2 linked regions of the Notamacropus eugenii genome follow. The protein of the gene in region 1 interacts with the protein of each later gene in a pairwise test. Links are inferred from orthologs where the notes say so. Each region holds a gene or a part of one and is shown on either strand. Other genes may lie near its edges.

Evidence for each region.
Region 2: the proteins of EHD3 (region 1) and MICALL1 interact in binary tests that used the Homo sapiens proteins (3 or more experiments, as listed by UniProt). The link is inferred for Notamacropus eugenii from reciprocal best matches to the Homo sapiens genes EHD3 and MICALL1.

The regions. Positions count from the first base shown.
Region 1 is NC_092872.1:533,836,441-533,851,723, forward strand, and holds the start of EHD3 (EH domain-containing protein 3), read left to right. Parts: upstream 1-8,968; 5' UTR 8,969-9,701; coding exon 9,702-9,928; intron 9,929-15,283. UniProt on the Homo sapiens protein: ATP- and membrane-binding protein that controls membrane reorganization/tubulation upon ATP hydrolysis. In vitro causes tubulation of endocytic membranes. Binding to phosphatidic acid induces its membrane tubulation activity.
Region 2 is NC_092874.1:295,397,177-295,412,290, forward strand, and holds the start of MICALL1 (MICAL-like protein 1), read left to right. Parts: upstream 1-7,436; 5' UTR 7,437-7,448; coding exon 7,449-7,672; intron 7,673-7,998; exon of another isoform or gene 7,999-8,087; coding exon of another isoform or gene 8,088-8,233; intron 8,234-14,255; coding exon 14,256-14,304; intron 14,305-14,697; coding exon 14,698-14,839; intron 14,840-15,114. UniProt on the Homo sapiens protein: Lipid-binding protein with higher affinity for phosphatidic acid, a lipid enriched in recycling endosome membranes. On endosome membranes, acts as a downstream effector of Rab proteins recruiting cytosolic proteins to regulate membrane tubulation.

The sequences.
Region 1 (15,283 bases):
GCATATAATGTAAATGAGGGAGGAAAGGAGGAGGGAAGGAGGGGAGGAAGAAAGGAAGGAAGGAAGGAAGGAAAGAAGGAAGGAAGGAAGGAAGGAAGGAAGGAAGGAAGGAAGGAAGGAAGGAAGGAAGGAAGGAAAGAAGGCAGGCAGGCATTTATTAAATACTCACAATGTGCCAGACACTGTGATAGCTCTGGGGATGTAAATATAAGCATGAAGAAAGACAATCCCTGACTTTGAGGAGCTTTCATTCCAAGGCAAAGACCACACACATAAAAAGAAAAATTAAAAGATGGGTAGGGAGAGAGAAGAGGAATAGGCAAATGAAGGTATTCAATGTGGGGACATGATTTAAGTTTAGAAAGCCAGAACAGGTCCAGAACAATAATAAAGGTAGATCTGGGACAGTCCACAAAACGGAGGCTCCAGGAAGAACTCACCAGCAGTAGAAGGGGGCAAACCTTAGGGAGGGATAATCCAGGTTGAGAAGGCCACAGAGAAGATGGATATTCCAAGGAGAGGTGACCCCACCAACTGAGGGAAATTTCACGATGATACAAGACATGATTTTGAATCTAGAAGCAAGAACCAAACCAGGAATAGGGAAATGAAGACCAACTTGGCATATGAGGAATGAAAAATATGAAATCATCCCGGAAAAATAGGTTGGAGCCAAATTTAGAGGGGCCTTCAGGGTTAAACAGAAGATTTGTTATATTATCCTAGCAGTAATAGGAAGACATTGGACTCTGGCTGTATGACTAATAGTTTTCATTCCGATCCTATTAAAATTTAGACTTTAATGAACATGATGATTTGGGAGGTCAGAAATGGCTACAATTTTGTAGCATTTCAGCTTTACCACACCATGGTCTGAGTCAGCAATATGGACAAAAACTGGAGAAGCTAGGAGGGTCAGCCCCAGAGGAGTGCGATCACTTACTGTCTGACTTTGGGCAGGTCACAATCTCTTTGAGTCTTGGTTCTAAATCTATGCACTGGTGATGATCATTCTTGCCCTACTTATTATAGGCTTGTCAGGAGGCTCTGATGAGATAATATGTGGATCATCACTGTCTCTCTGAAGTGTTACAAAAACCACAGGGTTGGCACATTCAAGCTGAAAGGGACCTTAGAGGCCATCTAATTCAGCCCCCTCATTTTATAAAGGGGAACAGAGGTTAAATGGCCTGACAAAAACCCCACAAATAGGAAGTGGAGCAGTGTAGACTGGAAGGTTAGGCCTCTGACTGCAAATATATCAATGTTATGGGTAAACTCTTATGGAGAGTTGTAAAAATCCTCTAGACTGAAGTTTGTTTTGAGAGTCTCTTCTAAGGGGACATGTGTGTAAACAGCAAGCTTTTGAATTCACTAGTATCAACACCTCTTTGTGCCTCTAACCAAAGTGGCTTATTTCAAAAGAACCCTTCTCATCCTGGATCCTGTGGTTGTTTGTTGTTCCTTCTGGAAGGACATCAGGAAATTGATGTCATGATTTGCAAGTGAATTGGATTTGAGAGAGGCCTGTGCAAAGTCACCAGTCTCAATTTCTCCTCAGGAGCCATCTGGGTCCATGGGTAAAATATAGTTCATGATAACTAGAGACGGCCCTGGAAGCACTGGGAGACCATGGCCTTTTTAAGCTAAGGTCTTTCCCGGGTCTCAGTATGACTGAGGCAGTGCCCATTCAGTGATTAAGGCTAGGTAAGAAATGAGGCAAAGAATGTCCTCTCCTTCATCAGATTCTACAACAAAGGGAAGAATCTCATTAAAGGAATAAGAATCAGAAACTTCATTCCAAGCTTTGGAAACCTTTGTCTCAAGGCCTTCATTTTTTTCATTTCTTTGATACCCTTAATTGACCTGAAAGATCAACTTGGTCCCTCTAGGAATCTGTATTAATCAAATGGTGAACCACAATACTAACAGGAAATAGAAGTAAAGTCAAAATATTCTCAAAATACTCAGCTTAAACACTTAGATACCTTCATGGAAGAAGCTAGTAGTGCAATGGATAGAAGCTGGGCCTGCAGTCATGGAGAACCAAATTCAAACTGGACCTCAGAAACATGCTAGCCATGTGACCCTGGGCAAGTCACTTCACTTCTGTTTGCCTCAATTTCCTCAGCTGTAAAATGGGGATAATCATAGCACTTACTTTGCAGGGTTGTTGTAAGGGTCAAAGAAGATAATTGTTTTAAAAAAAGCTCTTAGTACAGTGCCTGGATATGGTAGGTATTAAATAAATGTTTATTTCCTCCCCTCCCTTCTTCCTATCTATGATTTCCTCCATAGTATGTTCCCTCTATTGGTGTAGCTCCTAAATCCTCCATGCTTTCTTCTCTTAGGATATTCTTGCCCATGTCATTACATACATTCTCTATAAACTATCTACCTAATGGCCCCAGATGACTGTCTCTGTTTCCCTTCCATATCTTAGGGTAGCCCTTGAACTTTCTATTTGTAGTTTCTCATTCTCCATATGTGACCCACTCACCTCCTTTTCCAGTTACATGCACTCTCCTTTGTCAATGTTGTTTTAAATTTAATTCTTAGTTTAACAAAACATCAAACATTATGGGTATTTTCATGTATATAGTAAAATAATCCAAAAAAGATTGTACATATAACTGCAAATCTCTGTTATATACAGCTTGTTTTTCTTTTAAAAACATGTGGTAAATTCAACATGTAATTTCAAAGCTTCCCTGCTTGTCTGTGATTCTTTCTGACTTCCCTTCTGTTCTCTTCTGTGTTTTAAAAAATGTTTTGATGTCCCTGTTTTCCTCCTTTTCTTTTTTTTAAAATTTTGTTTACCCTGTCTCTAACCTACCTCCTTCCCTTCCATAACCCTGAAATTAAAAGAGAGGAGAAGAAAGGAGAAGAGAGGAGAGGCATTGAGGAGGGGAGGAAGGGAAGGGAGGATAAATAAATGTTACAAATATACATAATCAACAAAAGAAATTCCCCCATTGAGCTGTCTCCAAAACTGTATGCCTTATTCTTCATTTTTTGTCCATCACTTCTCTTTTAGGGGATGGGTAGCATGCTTGGTCCTCTGGAACTGTGATTAGTCCCTGCATTCATTAGAGTTCTCAAGTTTTCCAAATTGTTTTTCTTTACAATATTGCTCCTCTTGAAAAAATATTTTAAAAATTGTTCTCCTTGTTCTTGGTCACTTTATTTTTCATCAGTTCATAGGAATCTTCCTAAGGTTTCTATGAAGCTGTCCTTTTTATAATTTCCTATGACCCAATAAATCTGCCATGCATATTCTCAATGATTTTTTTTTTTTGCCTCCGGACAATAGGATCATCAATTCAGAGCCAGAAGGCACCGTTAGAGGTCATTTAGCTCTGTACTTTTTAAACTGTAGGTCATGATCCCATGTGGGGTCATAAAAAATTTGGCAACAGTAAAAGGTTTCTGAACTCACAATGACCAAAAATGATTAAAAACCAAATGTGTAATGAATCCGAGGCGTTTCTGGCAGCGCTTACCCATGTGGCATCACACAGTTTTACTGCAGCTTTGGTTCTGAATCAAAGCATGTGCACTTTGCACCATGCATGCCCTCGGGGCATCCAATGCCAACTGGCCAAAAAAAAGGGTTGAGAGTGGAAAGAGTTTGAGAAGTCCTGATCTAGTTCAATGATTATTAAAATGTGATCCACAGACCCTTGGGTACCCTTTCAAGTGGGTATAATAATACTAAGAAATTATTTGCCCTTTTAAAACACTCTCATTCTCTCGCAGTGTACAGACGAGTTTTCCTGGGGCTGCATGACCTAAGAATTAAAGATTTAACTGTAAACAGGAAGACCAAGCTACTAGCTCCTCTGCAGAATTATCCATTTGCCTTGCAAATGTATGAAATCTATGAGCCTTGTTGCTTGTATTCATCCAGTATCCGCACCAACTAATCATTGAAAAAGAACTTCTTTCATGTGAAGGCTTGGCAACAAAGAGAAGTGATGCTGAAATATTCAAAATGTTGAATAAAATTTTTGAGTCTTGTGGTTTATCTTGGAACTACTCTGTTGACATTTGTCATAATAGTAGAAAAAAATGGTGGATAAAACTGCTGGTGCCTTAGCATAAATCCGGGCAGTGGCAACAAACTGTTAATAATCATTATATTCTTTCCTGCCATGTACTCATAATTTAAAAGCAAAAAAAAGCTGGTTTCATTTAAGGGCTTTGAAGAACAACAAATATTATTAATTTGATTAAAACCTGAGTCTTGAGAACATATCTTTTTAATACTCTGCATGATGAAACAGGAAGAACAAATACAGCACTTCTGCTGTATACCAAAGTCCAATGGTTTTCTCAATGGTTGAGTTGCAAGCTAAATTAGTCTTTGGGGTTTTTTAAAAAATTTTTTATGGAATGCCATTTTTTAACTTGGAAGAATTGTTGATAAACAAACTAATGCGATCCTGGACTATATTAAGAGGGGCATAATTTCCAGGAATAGGGAGTTCTATTGCACATACCCTGATCAATTAGTCAATTTATTCAATAAGCATTTATTAAGTACAAGGATGGTCACTGCCCTTGCTGAGCTCACAATCTCATGGAGGAGATAGTATGCAAACAACTATGTAAAAATAGGCTATTTATAGGAAAAGGGGAAATAAATAAAAGAGGGAAGGAATTAGAACTAAGAGGACTGGGAAAAGTTTTCTGTAAAATGTGGGATTTTAGTTGGGATTTAAAGGAAGCCAGTAGGAAGCCAGTAGGCAGAAATGAGGAGGGAGATCATTCCAGGCACAGAGGACAGCCAGTGACAATATCTCTCCTGAGCTAAGAGATGGACTGTCTGGTTCAATGAACAGCAAGAAGGCCAGTGTCACTGGATCAAAGAGTATGTGGCAGGGATGGTATACGATTAGAGAAGTAGGGAGGGAAGGCAGGATGGGTTATGATGAGCTTCGAATGCCAAACAGGATTTTATATTTAATTCTGGATGCAATAGGAAGCAATTGGACTTTACTGAGTAGGTAGGTGGCACGGTTGGACTGTCCTTCAGGAAAATTACTTTGACAGTTAAGTAGAAGATGGATCCAAGTGGGGAGAGACTTGAAGAGGGCAGACCCTCCAGCAGGATATTGCAATATTTCCTGATACATTGAGATGAGGACCTGCACTAGGATGGTGGCAGCATCAGAGGAGAGAAAGGGGCATACTTGAGAGACAGTACCAAGGTACCCAGCTACAGACTGGAGGCAGAGGGTGAGACTAGTGAGGAATTGAGGATGAACAGGTTGAGAGCTGAAGCAACTGGGAGGATGGTAGTCTCCTTAACAGTATTTGAGAAGTTTGGAAGGGGGATGGGTTTGGAGAAAAGATAATGAGTATAGATTTGAACACATTGGGTTTAAGATGTCTATAAGACATCTAATTTGAGATCTCTAATAGGCAGTCGAAGATGTAAATATTTTAAAGGTTTACAAAGTGCTTTACAAATATCTTGTTTTATCCTTACAATTCTACTAAGTAGGTAGATAGTAATATTATCCTCATTTTACAGAAAAGGAAACTGAGGAGGATAGAGATTGAGTGACTTACCCAGGGTCACACAGTAAATTGGATTCTGAGGCCAAATCTGAACAGAGGTCTTCCTGACCCTAGGTCTAGTGCCCTTTCCAAAACGTCATCAAAATTTTGAGAGTAACTTCACTCAGGAGGCAATGGAGAACCACTGAAGTCTTCTCAATAAAAGAATAAAAATTATAGTGGTTTATTAGGAAGAATACTCTATCAGTGTTGTGGAGAATGTGGAATGGTTATAGGTTAGGGGTAAGAAGACCAACAAAGAGGCTTTTATGACAAAAGAGTGAGAAAAGATGAAGGCATTGTGGATGGTGAGACAGGGCTAGATTCAAGAGAACATGTGTAAGGAGAAAAGACTGTATTTGAAGACCAACCAATATGGGGCATAAGATTGGAAAGACTCATAGTATCAGGCTGGGTGTCTTTGAAGATGGCAGTGCCATTGAGAGAACTAGAAAAATTAGGGGGAGAAGTGGATTTAAGCAAGAAGATGGGACAAGTGTTTGCAGATGTTTGAAGGTTTGTGGTGTGAGCTGCTAATTCTTTCACCTTTTAGAGTACCTTTCACCTTTTACGTCTATGTAGAGAGAGATGTGGATGGACATAGGCATATAGATGATATATAGATATTTCTTGAATGTACTTCCTAATTTACATGTCTCTTTCATTGGAATATATGTTTACTGAAGGCAGGGGCTGGTTTTTTGTTTGACTTTGTCTTTGCCTTTGCAAAAGTTTTTGTCTTAGCTCTTAGCACAGAGCCCAGTGCATGTTAACTGTTCAATAAATGGTGGCTGACTGACTGACTGTTAACAGACTAGCCAGGTGGCGCTATCCAGTAGATAATTGGAAATATGTGACTAGAGCTTTTGGGTTGGAGATCTGAGAGTCATTTACTGAAACGTGCAATTGAAGCCAGAGGATGAGATCACCAAATTGAAGAGTGTAGATAGAGCAGGGATGGGGAATCTGCAGCCTCAAGTCCACATGTGGCCCTCTAGGTCCTCAAGTGTGGCCCTTTGACTGAATCCAAATTTCACAGAACAAATTCCCTTAATAAAAGAATTTGTTTTGTAAAATTTGGATTCAATCAAAGGGGTACACTTGAGGACCTAGGCCACATGTGAACTTGAAGCTGTAGGTTCCCCACTCCTGGTACAGAGGAAGGAGAGAAACAGGCCTAAAAGAAAAATAGATAAGTTGAGCAACATCAGGAGAATATTAATAAATATATTAAATTAAATATGTTAATAAATAAATTAATAAAATGTGATGACAAATATTAATAAAGACATAGTCCTTTGGAGCAACAAGCAGTATAAAATCACTGAGAGGAACACATGAATCTAAATGCAATCTGTTTTAGTCTCATCTTTCTACTCTATTCTGGGTCCTACTCACTGTTCATCTGCAATAGGCTACCCAAATCCAGACAGTAATGCATTTTTCATCTACTTTGTTTTTCCAAGTCAAATGCTTTTTAAAAATCAATAAATAATAAACACAGCAGAATCCTAACATCTCTCACCTGAGTGACTATAAAGATGTGACTACTGTAGTCCATTGGATTCAATTAAAAATGAATTTATTATGAACCTACTATGTTCCAGGCTCTGTGCTAAAAGCTGGGAAAACCTAGGCAAAAACAAAACAGTATTGGAAAAATTTGAGTAAACTCTATTTCTTTCTCATGTTTTCACCAAAGACACTTTTTAATGGATGCAAAGACCATTTTCATAGATTTCCTACAGATGAGAAAACAGATAGGTATGTGGGTAATGGTTGTTTTTTTTTAGTAATAGCTTCATCTGTGATTTTTCCCATTCTTTTGGAATCTTCCCTCTTTGAAATATCTTATAAATTGTTCTTTGAGTGCCTCATTGTTTTTGCCTTTAAAACCATGTCATCTTTAGCACAGATTTCATCCATATGGATTCGGTCAGGTCCAGCAGCTCCTCCTGACCTAATAGGACAATCTGAAGTCTTGAAGCATCTCTTCAGATGAGGAGTGTTTTTTGTCATTCTTCATATCCCAGGGCTTAAGCACAGTGTCTGGCACAGAGTAAGTTGATAATAAATGTTTACTGAATGACCCAATTGTTCACGTATAATAATGATAATGATAATAGCTAGTATTCACATAATCCCAGTGTGCCAAGCACTATGCTAAGCACTTTTTAATGATCTCATTAGATCCTCACAACAACCCTGAGGGTCAGATACTATTATTATACTATTATTATCCCCATTTTAAGGTTGACCAAACTGAGGAAGACAGGGGTTAAATGATTTGCCTAGGGTCACCTAGCTAGGAAGTGTTTGAGGCTGGATCTGAACTCCAGGCTTCCTGATTCCAGGTCCAAATGCTCTATCCACTTTGTCACTTTGCTGCTGCTTCACCTACACTGTGCCAGCCTCTGTGCGAGGCACTGCAGCCAAAGTTACAGGTATTTTCGTTGTCTCTTGACAGCAGCAGCAGCATAATGAGGAATGACTGCATGAGAAAATGAAATTAGGCTTTGGTGACATTAGAGAAAATAAAATTATATCTACTTAATAGCCTAAACTCCTAGCAACAAGAGGCCATGGAAACTGAGCTGGCCTCGGAGTCAGGGAACATAAGTTTAGATCCAGGCAGTAACACACTGTAACCACCTGACCCTAGGCAAGTCACTTAACCTCTTCGTTCCCCCAGGACAACTGTCCAAGACTGGAAGCCCCAGATCTGCACGGGGAGAAGACCTTTTGCTCACGGAGAGTTCTCTGCAGAAATGAAGTCACAGGCCTGGACCCTTCCCTCCCCTTCCCCCCTTCCTCGCCCCCCCCCCCCCCCCGCCCCAGATAACCCGGGGGCATATAGAGAACCCATAGAAGCTAAACAAATTAAACATGTTTTGCAAATAATATAAAGCCGTCTTTTCCCTCTCCGGCTAGGTTCTGGTATGAGAGAGAGCTGACTGCAGGAAGAGATGCCTCCTTTCACCCCGGGCCAGAGGCTGATTCGCCCAGCCGCAGCTCTAACCTGGGTAAATGCCACGCACTGAACCTCGGGGTGGGCAGGGGCAGGAGCCTTCCGAGGTCACAAACAGTCTGGATTCTAGCCCGCAGGGGGCGGCGGCTGCCGGGGAGGGGACTCGATCAGCCGCGGTCACCCTCAGCGCCGTCCCCAGGGGGGCGCCGCGTCCTCGCAGCCACACCTGGGCGGCAGCCTTCCCAGGCCGGCGCACCCCTGCGGCTCGGGCTGCCGAGCGCTCCCATCCCCCTGGCCTGGCCCTGCCCACAAGCATGGCGGCTCCCTGCGCGGCTTCAGCTCGCCCAGCAGCGCGCCAGGGGCTTGCCAGCAGAAGGCACTTCCGATGCTCCGCGGTTTCCTGCGGGGCTGGCATTTAAGCCCCGCCGCACAGGCTGGGGCATGCTGCCGCGCTCGCCGCCGCCGCCGCCGCATCGTCCGCAGGCGCTGAGCCGAGCACAGCCAGAGCCGGCTGCTCCCGGGGCTCCTCCCGGGACGACCTGGACCGGGCCGGCTCCTGGGCACCGCGGGACACTCGCCACTCCCCGGGCGTCTGCGGGGCTCGCGGGGAGCCGGGGCGGGGGGATTCTAACTCAGCGCTTCCTCGCAGCTTCAGCCCGAGCCGTCAGCACGGGCGGCTGGGGGAAGGCGGGGGTGGACGGCCGGGAGCTCGGCTGACACCCTGATTGCAGATAGGACTGCATAGCCCCGAGGTCCTTCAGGTCCTTCATTGTCCACCCCCTCCCCACGCGGTTTCTCCGGTGGATGGAGGCACTGAGGGGGAGCACATTGCGGCTCGGGCAGTTTACCGAGCGCAGCCAGTGTGCCTTAGACAGGATGCTGGTGAGCCGCAAGGCGCAGTGAGATCAAGGGTGTCTGCGCCTGTGTGTAGGAGCCCAGGGGTGTTCCTGCCTGCGGGGTGGGGGGCTGAGGTTTTGTGTTTTTCCTTCTCACCATCCGAATTTTAAAATAAATCGGACCCAGTTTTGCTAGCAATTTCCCCTGTTAGAAAAAGCAGAGAGAGCTGGGGGCTGGGCAGGGGCTCCCTTCCTGCCTATTTCTTAGACTAGGAGAGAGAGCGGACACCTGGGAGAGGCCATAGGGGAGCTTCAGCCCCCGCTCAGCCGAGATGTTCAGTTGGCTTGGACATGACGACCGAAGGAGGAAGGACCCGGAGGTGTTCCAGACTGTGAGCGAGGGGCTCAAGAAACTCTACAAGACCAAGCTGCTCCCTTTGGAAGAGCATTACAGGTTTCACGAGTTTCACTCCCCTGCCCTGGAAGATGCAGACTTTGACAATAAACCCATGGTACTCCTCGTGGGCCAGTATTCCACCGGGAAGACCACCTTCATCAGGTGAGAGAACTTAACTTCCATCACCCTCTAGATAGATCTGAATGTGTCAAAACCTCCAAAGAGCCTAGCTCCCGGAGCCCCACCTCCACCTCCTTAGAATCTCCACCACACGCAAAGCCTGCGAACATCTTGAAATATTTTTAGACAGTCTGGAGCTCAGAGAAAAATTAGGATCATCGATTTAGAGCTGAATGGCATCTTAGAGGTTAGCTAGCCAACCCCCATCATTTTATGTTCATGTAGTTGGGTGATTAATAAATAAATGCTTGAATTTTTTTGTGGATGAAGGAACTGAACCCCAGAGAGGTTGTGATTTGTTCAAGGTAACACAGATAGTGTCAGAGTTGGTATTTGAAAAGTTCCTCTGCCCCCTGTGTACCACCCCATTCCACTCTTCTATATGTAGTGCTGGATGTCAATTGAATTAGCTACTTTTTTGCATAACCTTTTTGCCTTACAAAGGGATTGGGGGTGGGGGCTTAGTTGGCCATATTATTTCCCTAATACTCAGCCTGAGAGAGATGAAGGAGATGGCTAAGTAAAGCTGTGGTTAGGTTTCCATAGTTCCAAAGTTTCCAGGATGTTTCTGAGTCCACTGAGGCACACATGACTTTGTTCTTCTCCTTCCTTGTTCTCGGTTAACCGGGAAGGACCCTGGTGTAAATACCTTCCCAGGACAGCCATGAAAGGCTTGACTTCCTGTCATTTCCATCTCTGAAATCAATAGGGGCTTAAGACAGGACATTAGAGAGCCACACTCCTTCATATATGGGAATTATCACTACAAGTGAAATTAAGCTTGCTTAGATCAGGATGGGTTAGGGACAGCAGCTGCAACTGTGGTTTGTGGAAGGGTTAGATAGTTGCATTTGGGTTGGGAAAAGAGCCTCTTTTGGAGTCTGTGGGAAAGTATCCATATGCATCAATTTAAAGCAGAAAGCTTTGATAGAAATGGCTTCCAGGACCATCTCCCATGTAGCTGCGTGGTTATGTGAATTTCGGGGAGGCTTTGCTCCCTGTTGCCTCTGGGTGGTGGGAATGATGGGGACTTCCATGTAGGTCCTCTTTTTGGAAGGACTGGCGATCGCAAAAATATTCTAGGCACTTACCCAGGTCAAAAATTCTGCTCCCTCCAAAAACAAAATACTGAGAAAAATTGTGTGTATTTTCATTTTTTGGTTTGTAGAGGCCCTGCTACCAAAAGCGACCAGGAAAAAGTAGACATACATGGACAAATCATCTTGAGACTTGCTACATTGTACGTAGCCTAATGATTGAGCCTTCAAAACCCCATAACTTGTGTGCAAAGAGGATGGTGACAAAGTATCGTCACAGAGAAAGAACATGGAGGATAAGGCATTTAATTTTGGTGACCCAGAGGATGGAACACTGGGCCTAGAGTTAGGAAGAAGACTTGAGTTCAAATCTAGCCTCAGATACTAGCTGTGTGATTCCTAGGCAACCCATTTTTGCCTCATTTTCTTCATTTGTAAAATAGGCATAATTGCCCCTACCCACATGGTGGTTGTGAGGATCAAATGAGTTAATAATTGTAAAATGCTAAGTACACGTTGTAAAATACTAAGCACAGTACGTAATAAGTTCTATATAAATATTGGCTATTATTATTATTATGGAGAGAACTTTAAAGTTTGCAAAGCATTTCACATAACATAATCTCATTTGATTCTCACAAAAGTCCTGATATTCCTAATTGTAAATTACTGCAAATATTAGCGCCATTTTACTGATGAAACAAAGGCTCAGATAGTTAGCTGACTTGCCCATGCCTGCCCTACCAGGAAGTATCAGAGATTGGATTTAAACCCTGGTATTGTTTACTCTTGTCCAATCATTTGCCCCTCTGTGATGATGCAAAAACGGTTTAAGTACTGGTTGTCCATCCGCATTTCTTTGGTCTCCTTTGCATCCCCAAATATTAAGTCTTTGATCTCACATGGGGGAAATGTCAGATTTTCCTCTTCCTTTTCTTGAACTTGGTCTTTATTGATTTATGAGTGCTGAAAGAGACTTTAGTCATCATCCCAATCCCTTTGTTTTATAGATGAGGAAACAAAAACCCAGAGGGAGAAATGACACTCTTAAGGTGACCAATAGTTCTTGGCCATCCAGGATTAGAACTCTGAGTTCCAGATTTTTGGTCCAGTGTGAGTAAGAATATTAAGAGATGCTCATTACCTTGAGAGAAGACTGCCCATTCCTTGGAGTGACAGACTGCTTGGGCTGGAGGGGACTTTACAGGATCAGTTTGTCTTAACAGCTTGCCTTGAGGGTTGATCCCAGAAGGGTCTATGCTTTGTGTTTTAGGACATTTTGTGAACTGCAAGCTCCTTCATAACTCCATTCCAGTCATAACATGTGGCATAGCAGAAAGAGCCCTGACCTTGGATGGTGATGTGGCATCTATCAACTGCAGTAACTTAAAGAGAGTCTCTTTGTTTTGTAGTTTACTAGTCCACAAAATGGTGACAACAATGTTTCGTCACTTTCCTCTTTGGGTCATTGTAAAAAAAACACCCACCTCATTCCTTTCCACTTCCAAGAAGATAAGCTCCTTGAGGGTAGGAACTATGTTACATTTTAAAATTTTCGTATTCCCAGTAGTAGCATTTTGTAAATTGTTCTGTTGAATTTTTTGGTAATCCTGACATTGAGATTATTTTTTATTTATTGTGTCATAGCATAAATGATGATGGTAAAAAGTTTGAGCTTTCATGCTCTGGCTGCAGGGTTTTAGGTTGGTGCCTTGCCATGGTTCAAGGGATACCACCTGAAGCTGGAGATTTTACCTTACTCTGCGGTGGACTGACCAGATCTTGTATAGTGTATTCAAGTGTGGGTGCCACTCTTTAAGGAGGACATCAGTCAATTCAGTTTTGTCAAGGTGGTAGGCAGTACGGGCAGCTACCAGGATAGTTATAGAATTGGAGAGATTTAGTCTGAAAAAGGAAAGATCAAGAGATAACAATAAATATCTCTAAATAATTTAAGAGCTGTTTTATGGTCTTATTGGCTGAAAAAGGCTGTTAATATTTATTTTGTATCTACAGGAAGTCTTCCATGCCACTGTGTGCAATTTCCCCAGTTAATGTTTTTCTTTAATATAGCTGTATCATTTTTTGTGAAATGGTTATCTGTTTATTTATTACATTACTGAATCACATAAATTTTTAACAAAAGAATCTTTCTTTAAAAAAAAAGAGGATTTATGAAAAAAGAAGTTAACTTTTTCTGTATAACTCCATGGGGATACAAGTAGAACCAATGGGTAAAACTAACAAGGAAGGAAATTTTGGTTTCGTTCATGAAGAAATTTTCTAACGAGATCTGGTAAATATGAGATAGTGAGCCTTCCATTCACTAGTGAAATCTAGACAGAGATTGGGTAAACCATCATTTTAGGGTGGCTGTGGAAAAGATCTCAGCTTTGGATTAGAGCCTGAGAGAGAGAGAGAGAAAGAGAAAGAGAGAGAGACAGTGTACATGCGTGCACGTGCATGCATGTTGTGTTTGTGTGTGTGAACCTGAGAATGGCACTTAATTTCTTCCTCAGTTTCCTCAGTTGTAAAATGGGAATGATAATAGTACCTATCTCAAAGAATTGGTATGAGGATCAGTTGAGATAATATTTGTAGAGGGCTTAACACAGTATTTGACACGTAGTAAGTACCATATAAATGCTCATTCCCTTCCCTCCCTCAAATGAGCTAATATTTGGAAAGTGCTTTCTAAGCACATAGTAGTTGCTTGATAAATCAGTGTTCTCGATTCCTTCCTCTCCACTAGTCCAGTAAACTCTATGGCTGGCTAAGGAACTACTGAGTAGATATATTTACGAATTAAGGATAAGAACATCATGGATGTTGTACTAGTTGTCTCTGAAAGTATGCTCATCACTCCTAACTTTTGGGACAGGTCAAGCTCAGAATTAGAGGTACCAGATCACGTGGAAATTTTAAAAAAATGCTTGTGATTCTTTGTGCTTGTAGCCTACTGGAACTACGGTGAACATCATCTTGGCTCTTTCTGGTAGCAGATCCAATTAGTCACTATGTGACCATGGGAAAGTCACTTTAATAATAACTCTCCCTCACATTTCTAAGGCATTTCAAGGTTTACGTAACACTGTAGCTATTGTATCATTTGAGCCTTTCAAAAACTATGTAAGGTTAGTGCTATTGTTCTTATTTCCATTTTGCAGGTGAAAAAACTGAGGCCATACAGCTAGTTTGTGTCTGAAGCTGGATTCCTGTTTCCAAGGCCAGCATTCTGTCCACTGTACTACACTGCCTTTCTAATCCATTTTATTTTTCTCTCTAAAGTAGGGATAATAATACCTGTAGGACCTATCTCATAGGGTTATTGGTTCTGGGGAGATAATGCATATAAAGAGCTCTGTAAATCTTTAAGTATTATATAAAGAAATTATTATTATTAATTAATATTGCCAGCATTAGGCTTACAGGAGTATGACTGGTTTACAAGAAGTGTGGCAAGAAAGGGTGATTGGGTAATAGGAGCAGATCAGCTCTTACCCTTTGAGGTCTGTGGAATCCAGTGTTAGTTTTTCCCATATGTATTTCAGAGCAGTCTGAGTCCATTCCCAAAGGGAAGGGACAGGAAGATAACTAGGTTCCTGGTCCAGTAGCTTCTCTATGACCCATCCCTTAAGACAGGCTTACCCCCCTCATTTAAAGTGCCAGTTTCTGAGAGATATCCAGAGGGGTAAGAAGCCAGAGAAACTTGAGGGCAGTATCTTTAAGAGGCTAAGGGAGCCAGAGAGAAGTGGTCTGAGTTAAGTGCTTTTGTACTATGAAAAATTTCCACGTTAAATACAACACCCCCTTCCTCAGCAGTCTGAGTCATCTCTGGCTATGGCATTGTGTTTGGAGGAGATGACCATCACAAATTCTTCTTCGTCCAAGGCAGGGAAAGGATAGAGCAGAGACCCTCTTCTTCCTCACTTTCAAAGTTAGGCTGAATCCCCCCCCTTTTTTTCCCTTAACACTAGTGAGATTAAAAATGCACCCTGGAGTCTGTGAAGCTTTTTTTTAAAAAAAAATTCATAATTATTACAATATAATTCATTTTCTTTGTAATCTTACGTATTTTATATATTTAAAAACATTATTGTGAAAAGAGAGTTCCATAGACTTCACCACACTGCCAAGGAAAATCCATTACACAAATGGTTCAAGACCCCTGATCTTATGTAGGTGCTGACCTTCTGTGGCAGAGAGTTGCAGAGTATATCAAGAGATGCTGCCAGCCCAGTGGTATCTGTGGCCTAGGGGGGCAATACAGACTTCACTGTGTCATTGTTCGGAGCCTCTC
Region 2 (15,114 bases), on another chromosome or scaffold:
GTTTTAAACAATTTTCCCTAAGGTACTAGAATAGGTGTTTAAAAATCTTGAAAGCCTTTTAAGGACTTTGGTCAATATAATGACCAACCACAATTCCAGAGAGTGGATGATGAAATACATTGCTTACCTCGTAAAAAAACTCATGGACTTGGGATACATCATGAGACATATTTTTTGGATATGACTAATGCAGGAATTTGTTATGCTTGACTATACATATTTGTTACAAATGGTTTGAGTTTCTTTGCTTTTTTTCCCTCTCAGTTGGTGTGGTAGTAGGGGAATGTAGGAAAGGGAGAAAATAGATTTTTGTTCATTTAAATTTTTACAGAACATTTTTTAAAAATGCTTGTTGATCCACTGGATTCAGTCTCTACCTCCAGTCCAACATTCCAGATCCCACCATGGGCCCCAAGCTCTTGTTTGGTGAAAGTTTCCCTGATCTAGCAGATCTAAACCCACCTACATGATCTCCAATCATCTTCAATCCCTTCTTACCCCGCCCCGCCCCCCCAACATTAATTGAATTAACAGTGCCATTCCTAGAAAGATGGCAGCCCTCACCATCCCTATGATATTCCAGACCAGAACAGCTCTCCTTCTCATCACCACTCTCATTTATCTGTATCCTTCCTCTGTAATCAGTCAATTCATCAGCCAATCAACATTTGTTGAGTGTTTACTATATGCCAGGCATTGTGCTAAGCATCAAAGATACAAAAAGAGGCAAAAGACGGTTCCTGCCCTCAAGGAACTTAATCTAATAAGAGAGAAAACATGCAAACAAATACATACAAAGCAAGTTATATACAGGATAAATAGGAAATAATTAACAGAGGAAAGGTGCTGGAGGAAAAAGGGGATACCTGCAGAAGGTGGGATTTTAGTTGGGACTTAAAGGAAGCCAGAGAGGTCACTAGCTGGAGCAGAGGAGTGAGAGCCTTCCAAATCTGGGGGAGAGCCAGAGAGAATGCCCTAAGTTCCTCGAAAGCAGGGACTGCTTTGCTTTGCTTTTTGCATTTGTATACCCATGGCTAACAGGGCCTGGTATGTGCTAAGTCCTTAATAACCCTAAATGCTTTTCCCAGGCATCTGTTCCTTCATTCAAGGCAAATATAGAATTTTTTGTCTCTCCCTGTCAAATTTCATTTCCTTAGTTCTGACCCAGAAGTCTCTGGCTCCTGACCCTATCTATCATCCAGCATTAGCTAAGCTTCCTCCTAGTTTTGTACTGTTTCCAAATGTGACCAATATAATGTCCATACCTTCATCCAAATCACTGATTTAAAAAAAAGATTGGAGCCAAGTCTGGCTCCCTGGATCTCTCTATTCCATTCTAAACTGACATTGACCCATTAATGACTATCTTTGGGCAGAGTCATGCACACAGTTCCAAATCTATGTAATTATCTCATCCTCCAACCCATGTCTCTTCATCTCAAACTTAGTGCCAGAGACCTCATCAAATGCTCTGTTGAAATCTGGATAAATGACAACAGTACCCGCTGATCCACCAGTCAGTCTACTTATCGAGCCAGAAAAGGAAATGAAGTGAGATTGCCATGATTTACTTCCTTCCAGCCCAAAGGTGATGACTGATGGGACAAGGTCGGAGAGAAGACAGGTGTGGAGGAGCTAGAGTTTTATTTTTAGTAGAAGAGACAATGGTGTGTGTTAGTGGAGGGGCATTTTTAAAGGCCATTTCTTACAAGATCTCGTCTGAAACCTTATAACAATCGGATGAGAGAAGTACTGTAGGTGTTATGATCCCCATTTTACAGGTGAGGAAGCTGAGGCTAGAGCCAAGGTCATACAGTTTGTGTCAGGAGTCAGATTCGAACCTAGGTCTTCCTGGCTCTATGTCCAACATTCTATCTAGGAAGCCAGGCTGCCTCCTCAAAAACCCTTGAGAGACGCAATGAGAGCAGTGACATGCTACAGTGGAATGTGGACTGATTGGCAGTCAGAGGACCTGATTTCAAAAATGCTGCCTCTCTCGCTGTTGTACTTCATCTCTGGGCCTCAGTCTTCTTATCTCTAAAATGAAGGAGGTGGGGGAGGTGGCCTCTGAGGCCCCCACCAGCCCCAGGCTGAGGATCCTATGAAATTTATTCCCCATAACCCCACAAGGCAGATGATACAAGGATCTTCTCCATTTTCCTGGACTGAGGTCCAGGTATTACAAGCTTCTGCCCTTCAAATAGAGATCTCCTGGACCCTGAACCAGATACTCCATCCCAGCTCCCACTGTGGAAGCTGGAATAGTGAATGAGAGGCAGGTGCAGAGAGAGCCCTGGACCAGGTTCTGGATTCTAATCCCTGCTGTACCCTTACTGACATAGCTGGGAGACTTTAGATGAAAAACTTCTCTTCTCATATTTCATTTTGCTTCAATCTTTCATTTTTTAGAATCATATCCACAGTTGACGTAATATTTGCATTTTCTGGATTTTATTTTTCTTCTCTTATTTTACAAATCCTTACCTCATCCTAAAAAGAAAAGATTAATGTTTTATTTTTATGTGTCAACCTTGCAATATAAATTTAAGTGAAAAAACCCATAATTCAATGAAAAGCTTGTATTCTATTAAAATGACTTTTTTTTTTTAAACAAAAGAGGCTTGAGTTATGATCCCACACAGATAATTTTAATAGTTTTTGTGCCCTGGGCTTCAGAGGGCTCAGGTATTGATCTGTTCAGAATTCAATACTCCAAGGAGGGCATATCCCTTTGAACATCTCTGTGCCTCTGTTTCCCCATTTGGGCATAATCCTCATGGGCTGGACCTGTGACTTCACTGGGGTAGGGACCTCCCAGGGGGAATCTACTTCCTCTACCAAAGCTTGTCAGCACCTGCTTTGGTAATAATTTTAGAGAGGTTCCTGAGGGCACTGACAGGTGCCCAGGGCTCTACAGCCAGGGTGTGTCAGGACTTGAATCCAGACCTTCCTGACTTGGAAGCCAGCTTTCTATCCACTGTCCCTATGTTGCTGGTCAGCAGGTGATGCTTTGTGGCACAGGATTTAAAACAAAACTCAGTTCATGCTTTGGATCAGTGCTTGCCCAGTTCAGAGCGAGAGCTCATTAAATGCTTGTTAATATTGAGGGTGAGAATGATGATGGTCATGGGTGCTGGAAGAGTCAAGGACAGCCCAGGAAGGTGGGAAACAGCCAGGAAAGTCAGCTATTGGCAGGTTCAGATGTGATGATGGACACAGAAAGCCATCCAAAATGGGAATACATAATTTATTCTTTCCAGTCTTGTTCTATGATGTTAGTTGGTATTATTAGGAGGTTAATGACTGCCTGGTCTTGGAGGAATATGGGAAGGAGGATGAATGTATCTCACAGGTATCCTAAGAAGAGAACACAAATTGCCTCTGGGGACCAGAAGTGCTCCAGGGAACGCTGAACTGTCAGGTCACACTGTCCCCCATTTTGTGGTGCAACTTTGGCAAGGTGATTTCTCCTGATAAGCATGTGCTTTGGCCTTAGGGTCAGGACAGGACAAAGTACCAAGGGGGTTGTTAATGAGTTGGTAAGCAAGTAGGAAAGGTGGTTGTTTTCTTCAGTGGCCTGGAACCCACTGCTGGGGGTGTGTGTGTGTGTGTGTGTGTGTGTGTGTGTGTGTGTGTGTGTGTGTGTGTGTGTGTGTGTGTGTGTGTGTGTGTGTGTGTGTGTGTGTGTCTGTGTGTCTGTGTGTGTGTGTCTGTGTGTGTGTGTGTGTCTGTGTGTGTGTCTCTTTGTTTCCTTCTGAGACAGGTCTGGTGGTGCTGTGAAGATCCAAGGGCAGGTCGAAGGCCTTTACTTCCCATCCTCCAAGCTCTTTCCTCACCCACTTTCTGTCATCGACAGAAGCTCAAAGGAACTACTCCCTTCTCCAATTTAATTCTAATCAATTGTACCATGGAAAGAACACTGCCTCTGGAGTCAGGAGACCTGGATTCCACTTCTGCTTCTGATGCATGAGAGTGTTGGTTAAGGGGACCTTGGAGGTGTTCTGAATTATGATCCTATGAATCTTGAGGGCCTCAGTTTCCTTGTCTGTAAAATGAGAGTTGATGCATTTGGACTCTACATACAGGTTCATGTTCCTTCGTTCCCCTCCATTTTGACTTGGGGGCCTCTCCAGAAGGGAGAAAGCACCCACACCGTTTCTTTAGTCCTTTAAGGTTTCCAAAGGGCTCTCCAGGAAACTGGGACTCGTTTTATTTAGCTTTTGTTTCTTCAGCATCTAGAATTTGTTTTTTAACCAAACTTGTGATTTCACTGGCAGAGGGAACTTCCAGTGAGGAAAATCCCTTTACAAACACAGACCTGCACCTCCTCTACAACTTGTAGCCTCTGAGGGCACACAGTAGGCATTGACTAAGTGCTCATTGGGTTGGATCAGTGCCCAGTGCCCATTAGTGCCATATCAGATTTCCATGTTACAGAAGTCACACTGTATTGCTTCAGCCTGGAGCTGGATCACCTTGTCCAACCTTCTCCTGTTATTTTACAGGTAAAGAAATCAAAGGCCAGAGAAACAAGAGCCTTGTCCAAAGCCACACAGTTAGGTCACAAGGGACATCAAGGAGATGCCAGATCTAGACCTGGAAGAAGCAGATGGTTACCTGCTCTCTGGAGGGTTGTGAGAGCAGGAGCCTGCAATATCGCAGGTATCCTAAGAAGGGAAAACAGAATTGGACCTCAGAAACCTTCTAGTCCAACCCCTTCCTCTTACAAATGGGGAAACTGAGGCCCAGAGAAGTCATAAGACCCTACAGCTGGAAGACTCCTCAGAGGTTCAACATCCTTATCTTATAGACGAGGATACTGAGACTCAGGGATGTAGTGATAGACAGTGACAGAAGGATTTTAACCCAAAGAAGCACTATTTCCACTGTACCATACATGCAAATCACTTTATAAACTCTACAGGCATTATCTGTGGTACAGTGGAAAGATCTCTGGCTCTGCCCTCTGATTCTGAATCTGTGCTCTCCTGGTCCTGCTCAGGTCCTTTCCCTTGTTTGAGGGGCACCATCTGCTTGGTGGTAAGTGCTTTGATGATGGAGAGCAGCACATTTCCTCCTCTGTGTCGTCCGTATCTAGCATGGCACTGGGCACAGACCTTAATGACTATTGGTTGAATGGATTTAAGGAGTCCTATTGTCCTTTGGGTAGTGACATCACATTGGGATTAAAGGCTTCATAAATGCGATAATTGCTAGGGAAACCTCTCCAGTAAATCCATGTGCGGAGCTCACTTACTTGGCTTCTCCCTGACTCAGCTGCCTGCTTAAAAGAGCAACCTCAATGGGGATTGGGAGCACAGCTGAGCAGACACATCCGAATGACATCACTGGAGTGATGATAATATAATAGGTGAAGTTAGTGGAGTGGGAAAAACACCTCATTTAGTAATCAGAAGGTCTGAGTGCTAATTCCATGTTGTTGTTCAGTTGGGTTCAGTCCTGTCTGACTTTTTATGACCCCATTTGGGGTTTTCTTGGCAAAGCTACTGGAGTTGGTTTACCATTTCTTTCTCCAGTTCTTCTTACAAATGAGGAAACTGAGTCAAATGATTCTCCCAGAGTCACACAGCTAATAAGTATCTGAGGCCAGATTTGAACTCACAAGGATGAGTCTCCCTGACTCCAGGCCTGGTACTCTATCTACTGAGCCACCTAGCTGCTCTGTCTCTGCTAATTCCATCCCTGACATTTATTACCTGAGTGACCCTGGGCAAATCTCTTCAGCTCCCTGAGCCTCAGTTTCCTCTGTAAACTGAAGATGTTAGCCTAGAATCAAGGGTAGGGAACTTGCAGCCTCAAGGCCACCTGTGGCTCTCTAGGTCCTTGGGTGCAACCTTTTGACTGAATCAGTGTTTACAGAACAAATCCTTTTATGAAGGGAATTTGTGCTGTGAAGTTTGGATTACACTTGAGGTCCTCGAGGCTGCAGGTTCCCTACGCCTGGACTAGAGGGATGCTGAAGTTCCTTCCAGCTTTAGATTTCTGATCTTATAACAGTGGGCAAATCTCTCCCCCTACTCGAGCACTAAGGACTTGCTATAAATGGTGGTTTGTTGTTAGTAGTGGTTTGGCTTATCATAGCCATTGTTATTAGTAGTGGCTTGCAGCTTTACAATTTATAATGGCTGGGTTTTGTCCATTCTCGTCTGAAGGTCACCATAGACCTGGAGATAAGACAAACCAAGAATGATCTAGGGCATAGATTCTAAGGGCCCTGGTGACAGTGTATGACTAATCCAATGACCAGCCTTGCTAAGCGACAGTAGGATATAGTTGTTAGTCTCTGGGACTCTCAAGAACCATCTACCAGTCATAGAAAAGGTGCACTTGGCCCCAAATGAATCTGACCAGGTCACTCCCTAACTCCTTAAACTTCATTGGTTCGATCTTGCCTCCAGGATAAAAGAATGAAAGTCAAAGCATTTTTTAAGCCTGGTCTACATGCCAAGCACAGTGGTGGGCAAGGAGGGGAACTTTGGTCCTGAAAGTTACAGGGATGGGCTAGTGGAGTATAAAATACAAAAACCTTAGCCTGGCTTCCGATCCCCCTTTCCAGCTTTCTTTCACAGTATTCCCTTTGCCCACTCCAGGAGCATTACTATAGCTCTCATCTTATCCCTTTCATGCATGCACAGTCTATCCCTCTCCAGCCTGATAAGTGCTCCATCCTCAGCTTGGCCTGGTGACAACTTTTTCCCCAAAAGTCCAGCTCAGGACCACCTTGTCTAGGAAGGCTTCCTTGGTCCTAGTCCAACTGAAAGTTTCAGGGCTGCCCAAACCAAAGAAGCATTTTGTCTCCAACACACTAGATCTGTCCCAAAAGTTTGAGTGCAGCTTCTGCACTCGCTCTTTTTTTATGAGTTTAAACTGCACTAAGACTTTTAGGACATTCTGTACTATACTAATTCAAGTATATATTATTGCTTCCCCACAATTAGGCTTATTAACTCCCTCAGGGCAAAGACTGTTGCTGGTTTTCACTTTGGTAGGTCCAAGGCTTTGCACATCAGCAGTAAGTCCTGGGTAAATGTTAGTATAGTATTATCCTTATAGTATTAAGCAGTCATTAGAGGATCCTAGTTTTTAGAGCTGGGAGGGATCTTGAGGGGGAAATGGAGACTCAGCGAGGGAAAGAAGGCTTGGTTAGGGCCATCGGACCCCAGAGCTGGAGCTGGAGATCTCAGAGGCCAGCCCTTTCATTGTGCAGACGGGGAAACGGAGGCCCGAGAGGCCGTGTAAGGTGCAAGCCGCAGGGCTAGCCCTCGGACTCCAGGCTCCTCCACGTCCTGGTTACCGAACCCCCTGTCTCCGTGCGCGTGTTCAGCCTCCCACCTCGGGGGCCGCTCTCTGGCGTCAGGGAGGAGACCAGGCTGAGCTGGGGGGCGGAGGCCGGGAGGAGGGGGGTACTTGGCGGATCCTGGAGGAGGATGTTCCCGAGGCCAGCGAGGGGCTCCCGGGCCTGGGAGGGGGAGGGCTCGTGCCGGGCATCCTTAGGAGGGCGCAAAGGGTATTCCAGGAAGGAAGTTCTCGCCCGCCTCGAGGAGGAAGGGGGGCCCTTCGGCTTTATCAGGCCCTGGTGGGGACGTCGGGGGCTCCGTCCCTCGGGTGTCCGTGCAGGGGCGGCTCCTCTCTGCAGCGGGGAGCCCTCAGGGTAGGGTAGCCCCGGCGCGGTCGGTCTGGGGCCCCGGGGGATCCCTCGGGCACGTGCACCTCGGGAGTTGGGGGGGCCCCCGCGGGGCTGGAGGGAGGGAGCGGGGGAGGTCTGCGGTGCCTCTCCAGGGGGGATGCGGGGTGAGGGTGGGCCCCCGGTCCCCCCTGCCTCCTCCGCCCCCTGCCCCGCCCCGTGCGCCGAGCCGGGCCGGGCGGGGCGCGTGAGTAAGCGCCGGGCGGGGCGGGGCGGGGCCGGACAGGTCTGAGCAGGGCCGGGGGGAGGGGCAGGAGGAGGGGGAGGGGGAGGAGGAGGAGGAGCCCGAGCCGACAGAGAGCCCAGCCCTGGAGCCCGAGCCCGAGCGGCCGGAGCGGGGCTGCCGTGGGGTCCAGTCCGAGGAGGAGGCGGCGGCCGGGCCATGGCCGGGCCCCGGGCCGCGCTGCTGGCCTGGTGCCGTCAGCAGTGCCGCGGCTACCCCGGCGTGGAGATCCGGGACCTGAGCGGCTCCTTCCGGGACGGCCTGGCCTTCTGCGCCCTGCTGCACCGGCACCGGCCCGAGCTGCTGTGAGCGCGGGGGGATGGGGGCCGGGGAGCAGGAGGGGGGAGGGGGCAGTGCGCCCCCGCCTCGAGCCGGGGCCAGGCGGGCTGGGGACCCGGCCTGCGGGGCGGGGCTGCAGAGAGGCTCGTCAGTTTCGTTTGGTCCGGAGGCCGTGGGAACCGCGCGCGACCTCCCGGTGTGCGCCGAGCCGCGGGCCGGGGGGGGGGCGGCGACGGGGGCGCGGGACCCCTCCTGTGCCTTTGGGAGGGCGTGGGAGAGACTAGTGAGTGTGTGTAGTGTGCGAGCGTGAGTGTGTATGAGAGTGAGTGTGAGAGTGTGTGTGTGTGTGTGTGGTGACTGTGTGTGAGACTGTGGGAGTGTGACTGTGAGTGTGTGGGAGAGGGAGAGGTGCCGAGCCGCCCGTCAGGTTCCCGAAGCCTTGCTCAGATCCTCCGGCCGCTTCCCGAGGTCACTCTCCCCAGGTGGGTCAGCAGATGGGCTACCACCCGGAGGCAGGAGCAGCCCCAGCTCCAAGCAGGGGTTCGGAGATCTGGTCTAAACTCTGTATGTGCAGATGGGGCACCCAGGGCCCAAGGCAGAGGCTGCTGAGGCCAAACCCTGTGGGCCACAGATGGACTTAGTTTTAAAATCTAATGCTATCTACGTTTTATTGTAAATTTTTTTGGTTAAATATTTTCCAATTGGATTTTAATCTGACTTGGCTGCCCTCTGGAAGGTTGTAGGCAGTGTGTCCGACACCTCTGATGTAGAAGACAGAGTTTAAGATTTGGAGGAAGCCTCAGAGGCCACCCAGCATTTTACAGAGGGGGAAACTGAGGCCTGATGAGCCTGAATGGGTTCCTGAGGGTCCCAAGTGTCAGAAGTAGCGTTTGAACCCTGGGCGCTCTCGGAGGGAGTTGGGCTCCAGGGCTTCTGAAGGCCTTGCCAGCTGTGTGTAATTTTCTGTTTCCTTATCTGTAAAAATTCAAGGTTGGGTTAGATGCCTGGGAAGGCCTCTGAGCCTAAGACTGTGTTTAAAGTCACATGGCCCATTAGGGGCCAAACTGAGACCAGAACTCAGGTGCCCTGCTTGGTCCTTTGCACTGCCGATCAGGGTCTTAGAACCAGTCAATCTGGCACAGAGAAAGCACTTTGCTGGGGGGCCCAGGAACTCAGGGCCCTGCCATTAGCTTGCTGGGTGACATTGGGGAAGTCCCTTCCTCCTGTTCCTTAAGATTCTGAGATCAATAGCAGAGTTGGGCCAGAAAGGCTGACCCTTTGACCATCCTCATTCTCATGGACAAGGGCAAGAATCTGTGAGTGAATGAAGATAAAAATCCAGAATTCTGTGAGAGGAGGGAAGTCGTTTTATCTGGGCCTGTGTTTCTCCATCTGTAAAAGTGAGAGAGTTGGCCACTGAAGTCCTTTCCAACTCAATATCCTCAGATGCTGCTGATAAGCTTTCAGCTCCTGACCTGGACACCAGAGATACAAGGTGCCCAAGGGACCAAAGCATGGGAGTTAGGATCCAAACCCATGGCTTTCTTCTCACAGGTTTCCTCCTGCCTGAGGTCCCAGGAAGTATCAGAACCAGGTTGGCCCCTGGGATCTTCTGGTACTGTGCCAAGCCACACCAGGCTGTATGTCAGAGGTGCCAATGTGGATGCTCCCTGATGGTCTTCTGGCAGTAGGAGTCAGTGATTCTCTCTTGCCTTCCTTTCCCCCAGTGTCAAGTATCTAGTGTGAATGTGTGTATGTGAGTGTGTGTGTGTGTGTGTGTGTGTGTAAAAAGTTAGTTGGTTTCACAACATCTGGTTAAAGGGCACTTCTGTGCTCTGCTTCTACCAGGTGTATAGACCTCTTCTCCCTCCCTGGCTAGCCCTGGCATTCTTACCCCTGAACAAATGAACTGTTTGGGAAGGGGGAGGCTCCTCTGGGGTCTAGGCCCCTCCCACAGGGAGTGGTAGGCTGGGTCTGGGAGAGCCTTGAGTGAGACTTTGAAGGGCTGTGAAGGCCCCTGTCCTGCCCCTGTGGGTAAGGAGGAAATTTAGGCCAATATTGTCTTGGACAAAATAGTAAGGTGCAGTAAGGGGAGCAGATGAGAGCAGTCTGTGGGGCTCAAGGCTCCCTAGCACAGGGAGCTTGCTCTGGTTACAGACTGATGGGGGATCTAGCTGATGGAGAAATGTCTGTGTGCAGCCAGGTCTTGTATGGTGCGTGGCACATATGTGTTTGTGGGACAGGCTCAATTTTAGAGCAGGGACAGCAGCCAGGCCTCCAAGTCTTCCAATGTGCCTCTCACAACCCCATGCTGTGGGTTTTTTTCCCTTAATCTGGGTATACAGTTTGGGGACAGACACCTTGGCATGGTGACCTTGACGTCAGAAAGGCCTAGGTTCAAGTGCTTCCAGATACATATTGGCTGTAGGGCCCTGGGAGGGTGGATTAATGTCTCATGGCCCCCAGGAATTTATAGTCTAAGACAGTATTTGCAAGTGTTGTTGTACAGTCCTGTCTGACTCTCTGTGACTCCATTTGGAGTTTTCTTGGCGAAGATACTAAAGTGATTTGCCTTTCCCTGCTCCAGCTCACTTTACAGATGAGGAAACTGAGGCAAACAGGGTGAAGTGACTTGAGCCAGTCTGCATCAGTGGAGGGAGATTCCATACTGGGATGAGTTCCTGCTGTTGATAAAATGACAGGAAACCCTCCTTCTCCCCACCTTGGAAAACAAAATAAAAACCGAACAAGCCCGGATCTCGCCAGTTTAGGAAAGGAAACCAGGCTGGCTGGGGATGGATGGAGCTGCCCTGGGGCTTGGCGCAGTGCCCATTTATGTGCAGCCTGGTTAGTCTCCCAGGCCCCCCACACCAGGGCCTTACAAGGGCATTGCCTGATGTGGGGGGGCAGGGCTGGTTTCAGCTGCCCAGGATGGAGAGAAGCGAGGAGAGGGAGAGGCTTTGGAGCTGGGGGGGAGGGAGAGGGTCTAGGTGAGTGAGGCTCCAGGCTCAGCTGGAAAAACAGGCTGGGAAGGGGAGGTGTTTTCGGTGCCTCCCAGGGCTGGCAGAGACAGTCTCAGAATTCTAGGTCTGTTAACATAGAAGGCACCTGAGAGGGCTTTTGGGGCCAGATGCTCCCTGTACAGGTACAGAAACTGAACCAAGTGGCCCCAAAGCCACAGGAGGGGTATGAGGAGGATGGATGGGCTCCTCAGGCATCTCCATTCAGGGCAAGGGGTGGCAACTGTGTGAGTTAATTGATTAGAAGGAAGTGAAGTCCCACAAGCCCTCTTTGGGCCTCAGTTTCTTTAGCTGTAAAATGTTGTTGGAAAGAATTATCTCTAAGCTCCCTTCCACATCCCCTGTTCTAAGCTTCCTCCCAGCCCTGATACTCCCTGTTCTAAGATCCCCCTCAGCTCTGACATCTCCTGTTCCAAGGCCCCTCCCAGCTCTGACATCCCCTGTTCTAAGCTCCCCCCAGCTCTGACATCTCCTGTTCTAAGGCTGCTCCCAGCTCTGACATCCTGTTCTAAGCTCCCCCCAGCTCTGACATCCCCTGTTCTTAAGGACCAACCCCACCTTCCCCCTAGCTCTTACATTTCCTGTTCCAAAGACCCTTCCCAGCTTTGCCATTCTCTGTTCTAAGTCCCCTTCTAGCCCTGCCATTCTAAGGCCCTTCCTAGCTCTGACATTACCCATTCTCAGACCCCTCCTTCCCCAGAGAAACAGCAGCCCCTCTGTCCTGCCCTTGCCCTCCCCCCAATCATGCTCACACCTGATGGGGAGGGCCATCACCTGCAGACCTGTGGACCACATGGCAACCCTCCCCCCTCCGCCTGCCAGACCAGCTCAGTCTGGGCAGGGAGGATGAGACATACACAATTAAGTCAGAAAATGATGCAGGAGCCTGAGCATTCAAGTGCAGACAGCTGCTGGGGCTGTGGGGGATTAAGGACTGGAGAGCCTGGGCGGGTGCCTGCTTTGGGGGCTGGGCCAGGGCACTGAGGCCTTCCATGGGGCCCTTGGCCCCTTCTCATCCTTCCCTGTCCTGTGATGGGGAACTGAGTCAGGTAGCCCATCTAAGTGCACCGAGCAAAGACAGTTTAGAGATAGTGGAAGAAACAAACTGCTCACTCTGCTCTCCCCAGTCTAGAAGGGCTGTCACTGAAGCATTCTGGGCCTTGATTTCTTCCTCTGTAAAAAAAAAGGGGCTGGACTAAGTCTGATTATGTGACCCTCTGACTGAAGCTCCAAGGCCTATGAAAAACAGCTTTCTTCAAGTCTTGGCTGCCACTTTTTCCTGGAAGCCTTCCTGAATTGCCATCCCCACCTGACCCCCAGCTAAAAGGGGCCTACCTTTCCTCTACTCTTCCTGAATCTGGAGCCCTGCTAACAGCTCCCATCACTGCCAAACTCAGTGTAGTAGCCCCCTGGAAGGGACCCCCAGACACCATCAGATCCAAGCAGAATCATGCTTATAGGGTTAGGAAACAAGGTGCATTTATTAAGCACCTCCTATGTGCCAGATGCTTCTGAATGTTTTACAAGGGTCTCATTTGATGCTTACAAGCATCCTGGGAGGTAGGTGCAGTTTTTGTTTTCATTTTACAATTGAGGAAACTGAGGTAGACTGCAATTAAGTGACTTGCCCAGAGTCAGCTAGTAAATGTCAGAGGCTGGATTTGAACTCTGGTCTTTCTGACTCTAGGCCTGGGATCATAGATAAACAGAGCTGGAAGGGGCCTTGGAGGCCATTTAGTCTAAACTCATGTTACAGATGAAGACACTGAGACCCAGGGAGAGAGAGAAATGACTTGTCCAAGGTCCCACAATTTGAATTCAATTGGTCTAAATCTATGTGCTTTTCTCTGCATCAAGCTTCTTAAGAGACAGGCCTGGCCCTTGTTTATCTCAGGATCTCCCTCGACCAAGCCAGGCCCTTGCACCTTAGCTGCCTAATCAGGGTTTTCCAATCCGGATTCTCCCGGAGAACCCACCTTCCTTCTGGTAAAGAGCTTCTGCCCTTCCCTGACTGCAGTGACCAGTCTGAAAAAAGGGGGTAGAGAGGTGGTAAGGGCTCAGGGGGCCCTCAGAGGCCCAGGTCGGAGCTTCTAGTCACCAAAGGGAGACAGGAGCAGGAGGTGATGCTGGGCAGGATGTGAGCCAGGACACCAGGGTCCATGTCCTGGGCTGCTCTGGACTCATGGTCAGAGTTTAGAAGCACTGACTCCCAGTTCTCAGATCCCTCGGGGGTGGAATGAGATGATGGATGTCCCTGAAATACTAGAATGATTTCTCATGTTCATGGAAGCCATGATATCCCCTCTTTTAAGGCCCCCCTCCCTAGCTCTGATATCCCCTGTTCTCAGGCCCCTCCCAGGCCTGACACTCCTTGTTCTCAGGCCCCCCCAGCCCTGATACCCCCTGCTCTCAGGCCCCCCAGGGCTGACACCCCCTGTTCTCAGGCCCCTCTCATCTCTGACACCCCCTGTTCTCAGGCCCCTCCCAGCCCTGATACCCCCTGTTCTCAGGCCCCTCCCAGCCCTGACACCCCCTGTTCTCAGGCCCCTCCCATCTCTGACATCCCCTGTTCTCAGGCCCCTCCCATCTCTGACACCCCCTGTTCTCAGGCCCCCCCAGGGCTCACATCCCCTGTTCTCAGGCCCTCCAGGGCTGATACCCTCTGTTCTCAGGTCCCTCCCAGCCCTGATACCCCCTGTTCTCAGGCCCCCCAGGGCTGACACCCCCTGTTCTCAGGCCCCTCCCATCTCTGACATCCCCTGTTCTCAGGCCCCTCCCATCTTTGACCTTTTGTGTTCCAAGGTCTTCTATGGTCTAATATTCTGTGCCCTAAGGACTCTTCTACCTCTAAAGTTGTGTGTGTTTAGGATAGTCAGGGTTTCTTCCTCTAGGCTTTATACAAATGGGAAGGGATCTGTAAGTGCCAGGTGCACCCGCTGCAACTGGCAGGTCCCTGACTCCCCCATCCCTACCAAACCTGCTGAGTCCTGTCCAGCCCATCCCTTACTCTCACCTTTGTCTGTTCCAGAGATTTTGACTCGCTCTCCAAGGACAATGTCTATGAAAATAACCGCCTGGTGAGTCCCAGACAGAAGGGCCTAGAACAAAAGTGGGAGAGAAGGCGGGGGTCCTCTTGGGATCTGGGGCAGCCCCTCCCTGCCTCCATGGTGCCCCTCAGCCTGGCTCTGGGCTCTGGATGCTGGGGACTGAAGTGGCTCCTGGGGTGGGGTCTCTGATGGGAGTGCCCTGCTCCCCTCTTCTCTTCCTTTGTCCCCACCCCCTCTAGGTGTCTGAGAAAGCAGGCTGTTCAGTTCTTCCCAGAAGCAGCCCTCCCCATCCTCTCCTGGCTGCAGGGTGGATGTAGACAGTGATGTTTGTGGGGCTGGGAGCCAAGGAGAGCCCTGGCAGGGATCAGGTGGGGGATAGGGGGCCAGGAGCCGTGTTTCAGGCTGACTCTTGTCTCCCTCTAGGCGTTTGAGGTGGCAGAGCGGGAGCTGGGTATCCCAGCCCTACTGGATCCCAATGATATGGTGTCCATGAGTGTGCCCGACTGCCTGAGCATCATGACCTATGTGTCTCAGTATTATAACCATTTTACCAGCTCCAGCCAAGGTGAGTGCCCAGGCTCCTCCCAGGCTCACTCTGGGGTCTCTCACTGCCCATTCATCCTCAGGGTGGGCCCCTTGCCCATTTCCAAAGGCTTCCCTTGATCCCCCATTCCCCTCTTTGGAATGTGGAAGAGGGGGTTGGCGGAGGGTAGGGGGAGGGATTTCCTAGGGTAGTGTCCAGATGGAAGATCTGATCTGGGCTGGGACCCACTATGTGCTAGGCACTGTGCTCATCACTGGGGGGACAAAGAAAGGCCATGGGGAGGAGGGGACTGATAA